Saccharomyces cerevisiae S288C: one gene and its partner. Changing the gene in region 1 together with any one later gene gives a genetic interaction. Each region holds a gene or a part of one and is shown in the gene's direction. Other genes may lie near its edges.

Region 1 (3,758 bases):
CACGATTCAAAAACGCCAAGATCTGTTAGTAGAGACAGCAAGCATTGCAAAACCATTCATCACTCAGTTGCTAGGCGAGTGTTGGTGCGATTTACCCTCATCATCTTTTTTTCGCTCCATTAAACAGTTCCTTGTGGCTTTCATGCAAAGTGTACGTCCATAATGAAGTATAATAACAGAAAACTCTCGTTCAACCCTACCACAGTAAGTATCGCTGGAACGTTGCTTACGGTGTTCTTTCTCACAAGACTCGTGCTTTCGTTCTTCTCGATATCGCTATTCCAGCTGGTAACTTTCCAAGGAATCTTCAAGCCCTATGTTCCAGATTTTAAAAATACTCCCAGCGTAGAGTTCTACGACCTACGAAATTACCAAGGCAACAAAGATGGTTGGCAACAGGGTGACCGCATCTTGTTTTGCGTGCCACTGAGAGATGCTTCTGAGCATCTTCCCATGTTTTTTAACCATCTGAATACCATGACATATCCGCACAACCTGATTGATCTGTCGTTTTTGGTGAGTGACTCTTCGGATAACACCATGGGCGTGTTACTATCCAATCTACAGATGGCGCAATCGCAACAAGACAAGTCCAAAAGGTTTGGTAACATCGAAATCTATGAGAAGGACTTCGGCCAAATCATTGGTCAGTCCTTTTCTGATCGTCACGGGTTTGGCGCCCAGGGCCCCAGAAGAAAGCTGATGGCCAGGGCTCGTAATTGGCTTGGGTCCGTGGCCCTGAAACCATACCACTCCTGGGTTTACTGGAGAGACGTGGATGTCGAAACCATCCCCACTACCATCATGGAGGATCTAATGCATCACGACAAGGACGTCATTGTCCCCAACGTCTGGAGACCTTTACCAGACTGGCTGGGAAACATTCAACCCTACGATTTAAATTCATGGAAGGAATCAGAAGGGGGTCTTCAATTGGCGGATTCCCTAGACGAAGATGCTGTCATTGTGGAAGGGTACCCAGAGTACGCCACTTGGAGACCTCACCTGGCATACATGAGAGACCCAAACGGTAATCCAGAAGACGAAATGGAATTGGACGGTATTGGAGGGGTCTCGATTCTCGCGAAAGCTAAAGTATTCAGAACAGGCTCACACTTTCCTGCATTCTCCTTTGAAAAGCACGCAGAGACAGAAGCATTCGGTAGGCTCTCCCGCAGGATGAATTACAATGTCATCGGCTTGCCCCATTATGTCATCTGGCACATCTACGAACCTTCCAGCGACGACTTAAAGCACATGGCTTGGATGGCTGAAGAGGAGAAGCGGAAACTAGAAGAAGAGAGAATTCGCGAATTTTACAACAAGATCTGGGAGATTGGATTTGAAGATGTCAGAGACCAATGGAACGAAGAAAGAGATTCAATCTTAAAAAACATTGACTCCACTTTGAACAATAAAGTCACTGTAGACTGGTCTGAAGAGGGAGATGGCTCGGAGCTGGTGGACTCAAAGGGTGACTTTGTCTCACCAAACAACCAACAACAACAACAACAGCAACAACAACAACAACAGCAGCAGCAGCAACAGCAACAGCAACAACAGCTCGACGGCAACCCGCAGGGGAAACCTCTTGATGACAACGACAAGAACAAGAAAAAACATCCTAAAGAAGTTCCATTAGACTTCGACCCTGATAGAAACTAGGCTCGGTTTTTTAGTGACCTACATATGAAGTACGAATTCATATAGTTGTACATATATACCGATAATAATATCAAACCTCTATTCTTTGGTCTTTAACTTTTCTTTGAGTGAATTACAATACCATTGTTATATCAATCACTATACACGGCTCGGTGGCGAAATTGAAATTTTTTTATTTTCTTCTCTTTCATTATGGCTAGGCAAGAAATAGCGACAGCAAAACTTAAGAAAAAATGATAGAACAAGGTCCCATCCAGTATTGACTAGTAGCTAAAGCTAGAAGGTACACTTAGGTTTTTCTCCCTGTTTTTAAGTTTGAACCATTGATAAGGCCGTTCGCAGACAAGCTTGCTACCATCCAATTTTCCTTCCTCTAAAGACTTAATAAAGGCATCTAACTCCACCTTTAAATCACAGATCACACAAAGACAACATACAATAGAAAAATGGTTAGCTTAACCTTTAAAAATTTCAAGAAGGAAAAAGTTCCTTTAGATCTGGAACCTTCAAACACAATTTTAGAGACCAAGACCAAGCTTGCTCAATCCATTTCTTGTGAAGAATCTCAAATAAAACTGATCTACTCGGGTAAAGTGCTACAAGATTCCAAAACCGTATCGGAATGCGGGCTAAAAGATGGGGACCAAGTTGTCTTCATGGTTTCTCAAAAAAAGTCCACGAAGACCAAAGTAACAGAACCTCCAATTGCTCCTGAGAGCGCCACTACCCCCGGAAGAGAAAATTCTACAGAAGCATCCCCCAGTACGGATGCTTCTGCAGCTCCTGCAGCCACTGCTCCCGAAGGCTCACAACCGCAAGAAGAACAAACCGCCACTACAGAACGTACTGAATCTGCCTCTACACCGGGATTCGTGGTGGGAACCGAGAGGAACGAGACCATCGAGAGAATCATGGAAATGGGCTACCAAAGAGAGGAAGTCGAACGAGCCTTGAGAGCAGCCTTTAATAATCCAGATAGAGCGGTGGAATATCTACTGATGGGTATTCCAGAAAATCTGCGTCAACCGGAACCACAGCAACAAACAGCCGCCGCAGCGGAACAACCATCGACAGCCGCCACCACTGCGGAACAACCGGCTGAAGACGACTTATTTGCACAAGCTGCCCAAGGCGGTAATGCTTCATCCGGTGCGCTTGGCACAACTGGAGGAGCTACAGATGCTGCGCAAGGTGGACCTCCAGGTTCCATTGGCCTCACTGTAGAAGATTTACTATCGTTGAGACAGGTCGTTTCAGGTAACCCAGAAGCTTTAGCCCCATTGTTGGAAAACATAAGTGCTAGATATCCTCAATTACGTGAACATATCATGGCAAACCCAGAAGTGTTTGTGTCCATGTTGCTAGAAGCCGTGGGTGACAATATGCAAGATGTTATGGAAGGTGCGGATGATATGGTGGAAGGAGAGGATATAGAAGTTACAGGAGAGGCTGCTGCTGCAGGACTGGGACAAGGTGAAGGTGAAGGTTCTTTCCAAGTTGACTATACCCCCGAAGACGATCAAGCTATTTCGCGCCTCTGTGAATTGGGCTTTGAAAGAGATCTTGTTATCCAGGTGTATTTTGCGTGCGATAAAAACGAAGAAGCTGCAGCAAATATTCTATTCAGCGATCATGCCGACTGAGATTGTAGTAATGTTATGGCTTGAAGTATCTTCACTTATTCTCGACAATGTTGCATGATTTTTGAGCCAAGGGAAAAAAAAAGCTTACGTAGAAATCAATAACGTATGTGTATTTATATATGCTAGAAGGGAAAGAAAAGAAAACAGAGAGATGGTAATATTAATCTCAATAATAATAATAATAATAATAATAACAATAATAATAATAATAACAACAACAAATAATGATTATACTGCTTTTAGCGCATATATACAGTTTTGTTAAAGAGTTTCAAAATTCTTGTATACCTGGTACTTTTGCCCATCGGGGACAGGTGCATTACCAGGTCGGGAAGCTAACCCAGTAGCTATTCCAACGCCGGCCGCTGCGTCCAATTCCAATGGATTATCGCTCAAGAACAGTACCTCGCTAGCCTTCGCACCGATATCCCGCAAGATGTTGGCGTAAGA
Region 2 (3,758 bases), on another chromosome or scaffold:
GTTCTGACACTTGAGTGTTCAAATCTTTAATCTGAGATACAAGGGTCTCTGTATTCTGCTCCAATTCAATGATTTTTTTTTGTAGTCTAACAATTGAGTTCCACTTCTTCGGTAGCAGTAATTCATCAATGTCTACCATACTTTCGTTACTGGTGTCATTGTTACTGATGAATTCTTGCCGGTCCACTGATTCTTGCAACAGAAAACCTGATAGAGTTACAATTGCATGTCGAACACTTTCGTAATCTTGAGCATGCTCATGTCGTACAGTTTGTTTGTAATTCCAATTCAAATATCGGAGGACACTTTTATCGAGTTCATTTTTCTGTGTATCTGTTAAAGGAAGCTGTTGCTGCCAGTTAGTCATTTCTATTTTTTTCTACACTTACGCACGCACAGGTGTATACCAACAACCGGACGACGAACCTAGCTGCTTTATCAATGGCTATCTGGGCGACGATGGCCCAATACTAAGATTACCTATTACGTTTACACTCGCCAAAAATAAGAAACAAGTGCAATATGCACGACTTGCAAGCTGAAAATATTTCAAAACACCCACATCCCACAGCACAAAACCAGTGCAAATTCCATAAAGGGAAGTGAATTAAATTCAATGGTAGATGAAAGCACTTTTTCAGGAACCGTTTTAAGATCTAATTGTAGTTTACCAAGATATACTAAAACGTCGTTACTCGTTTTATTTACCTACCATTAGCTAACCGTTGCCATGGCTACCGTCCGGGTCGCCAGCGGCTGCTACTGCAAAAGTTGACAACGAAAAAGAGAAAAAAAAAATTCTCGGCACGCAAGACCTGAATGGTTTTTGTTTTCCCCTTCCCATTTTTTTCTTATGGTTTTTCCAGTTTTCTAGAAGCCGGAAAAAAGGCAAGCTACAAAATGTACTACGCGGAGCCAGAATTAAAAACCACGCGGACGGGACGGGCCGTGGCTTGTGACGCCGGATCCCCGCGTATAATCCGTGTCACGCTAAAGGACAAAATCGGTTTATCCGAGCGGTTTACGGGAAGGGTCTTTTGCTATCTCGCAGTAGCGTGTGCCTGGTTATCCCAATACTACCACCACACCTGTGCTTTTTTTATCTTGTACGTGCATGTATGCGTATGTTTTCTTTTTTTCCGTTGGTGCTTATTCGCTACCGTCTCGTTGATCCATGAATCACAAACACAAGCCGGTTCTGCTTACTATACAAAATAGTCTTGTGTCTTGATTCATATATCCGTCAATAACGTAGCCTTTCTTTATTTTCCTTTCGCTCACCATACTCTTGCATTAGTGTATTTTGTCTTTTATATCGCCAATAAGTGCCCAACTCTTCTACCTGACCCCTACGTCGTCGCCGCCCCTTTTCTTTTTCTTCGCCTAGTTCTATTTGGCTATATATTTCAGAGTGACAAATCTTTAAGAGAGACAAACTGAGAATTAGCATATAGAATCATTCATACAACTGTTTACAAACAAGTAAGCCCAAGACAGTTCCCAACCGCTTAAAGAAGTTTTTCCTAGAGGGAGCAAAGTTCGTTTACATTTCACACACACAGTTTTTTTTCACTTTTTTGGGCCTCTTCCTTTTCCCGTTTTTTTCAAAAAGCTTAGAAATCTTCTTCACCTCCTATTTTTCTAGAATCGTGAAGAATTTCCAGATTTAACAGTTTTCCACTTTTTCAATAAGGAAATAGTAGGAATAATAAAAAAAGGATAGTAGTAACGATATACGTCGACTTTCCAGACTGGTCTCGAGCCGGAATTAAATACAATAGCAGCGTTTGACTACCACATTGTAGCTCCGCTAGAATTGATCGAAAACAAAAATAATAACACTAATAATTATAATAATACGGTAGAACTATTTCTCGTATAAAGATGCCTAATCTATTGTCGAGAAACCCATTCCATGGTCATCATAATGACCATCATCATGACCGTGAAAATTCGTCTAATAACCCGCCACAGTTGATCAGAAGTTCTAAATCTTTCTTAAACTTCATTGGTAGAAAACAAAGTAATGACTCACTAAGAAGCGAGAAATCTACAGATTCCATGAAATCTACCACAACCACTACAAATTATACTACAACAAACCTTAATAACAACACCCATAGCCATTCTAATGCAACCAGTATCTCAACAAACAACTACAATAATAACTATGAAACAAACCACCACCATAATATTTCTCATGGGCTCCATGACTATACTTCTCCCGCCTCTCCAAAACAAACCCACTCCATGGCAGAATTGAAAAGGTTTTTCAGACCTTCTGTAAATAAAAAACTATCTATGTCTCAACTTCGTTCCAAGAAACATAGCACCCATTCCCCCCCACCTTCAAAATCAACTTCTACAGTTAATTTAAATAATCACTATCGTGCCCAGCATCCTCATGGCTTTACAGACCACTATGCTCATACCCAGTCTGCTATACCGCCAAGTACCGATTCTATCCTATCTTTGTCCAATAATATTAATATATATCACGATGATTGTATTCTGGCTCAAAAATACGGGAAATTGGGTAAGTTATTGGGTTCCGGTGCCGGTGGGTCCGTTAAAGTTCTTGTGAGACCAACTGATGGTGCTACTTTTGCCGTCAAAGAATTCAGACCAAGGAAACCGAATGAGAGTGTGAAAGAATATGCCAAGAAGTGCACCGCAGAATTTTGTATTGGTTCGACTTTACATCACCCAAATGTTATCGAAACTGTTGACGTTTTCTCTGATTCTAAACAAAATAAATACTATGAAGTTATGGAGTACTGTCCGATTGATTTTTTTGCTGTTGTTATGACAGGCAAGATGTCTCGTGGCGAGATCAACTGTTGCTTGAAGCAATTGACTGAAGGTGTTAAATATTTACATTCTATGGGATTGGCACATAGAGATTTGAAATTGGATAATTGTGTCATGACTTCCCAGGGTATTTTGAAATTAATTGATTTTGGTAGTGCTGTTGTGTTCAGATATCCTTTTGAAGATGGCGTAACGATGGCTCATGGAATCGTGGGTAGTGACCCTTACTTAGCGCCGGAAGTGATTACCTCCACCAAATCTTATGATCCTCAGTGCGTCGATATATGGTCTATTGGGATCATATATTGTTGTATGGTGCTTAAAAGGTTTCCATGGAAAGCCCCTAGAGATTCTGACGATAATTTTAGATTATATTGTATGCCGGATGATATAGAACACGACTATGTTGAATCTGCCAGGCATCACGAAGAGTTACTGAAGGAAAGAAAAGAAAAGCGTCAAAGGTTTTTGAATCACAGTGACTGTTCCGCCATCAATCAGCAACAACCAGCTCATGAATCAAACTTGAAAACAGTTCAAAATCAAGTTCCAAATACTCCAGCATCTATACAGGGTAAAAGCGATAACAAACCAGACATTGTGGAAGAAGAAACCGAAGAAAATAAAGAAGATGATAGCAATAATGATAAAGAAAGCACGCCAGATAATGACAAGGAAAGTACCATCGATATTAAAATAAGCAAAAATGAGAATAAAAGCACGGTAGTTTCAGCTAACCCAAAGAAAGTAGATGCCGATGCCGACGCTGATTGCGATGCTAATGGTGACTCTAACGGCAGAGTGGATTGCAAGGCTAACAGTGACTGCAATGACAAAACGGATTGTAATGCTAACAATGACTGCAGCAATGAATCGGATTGTAACGCTAAAGTTGATACTAACGTCAACACTGCTGCCAACGCTAACCCTGATATGGTTCCCCAAAA

Evidence for each region. Genes that interact genetically often act in the same process or in processes that back each other up.
Region 2: mutations in RAD23 (region 1) and HRK1 together harm fitness more than expected from each alone (negative genetic interaction), as found in Saccharomyces cerevisiae (3 studies listed by BioGRID).

The regions. Positions count from the first base shown.
Region 1 is NC_001137.3:80,957-84,714, reverse strand, and holds RAD23 (Rad23p), read left to right. Parts: upstream 1-2,111; coding exon 2,112-3,308; downstream 3,309-3,758. Other genes in the region: ANP1 (Anp1p), read left to right, coding at 163-1,665; putative acireductone synthase UTR4, read right to left, coding at 3,570-3,758. UniProt on the Saccharomyces cerevisiae protein: Plays a central role both in proteasomal degradation of misfolded proteins and DNA repair.
Region 2 is NC_001147.6:822,994-826,751, reverse strand, and holds the start of HRK1 (putative serine/threonine protein kinase HRK1), read left to right. Parts: upstream 1-1,884; coding exon 1,885-3,758. Other genes in the region: PAC1 (Pac1p), read right to left, coding at 1-367; YOR268C (uncharacterized protein), read left to right, coding at 820-1,218. UniProt on the Saccharomyces cerevisiae protein: Involved in regulating the activity of the plasma membrane proton pump PMA1.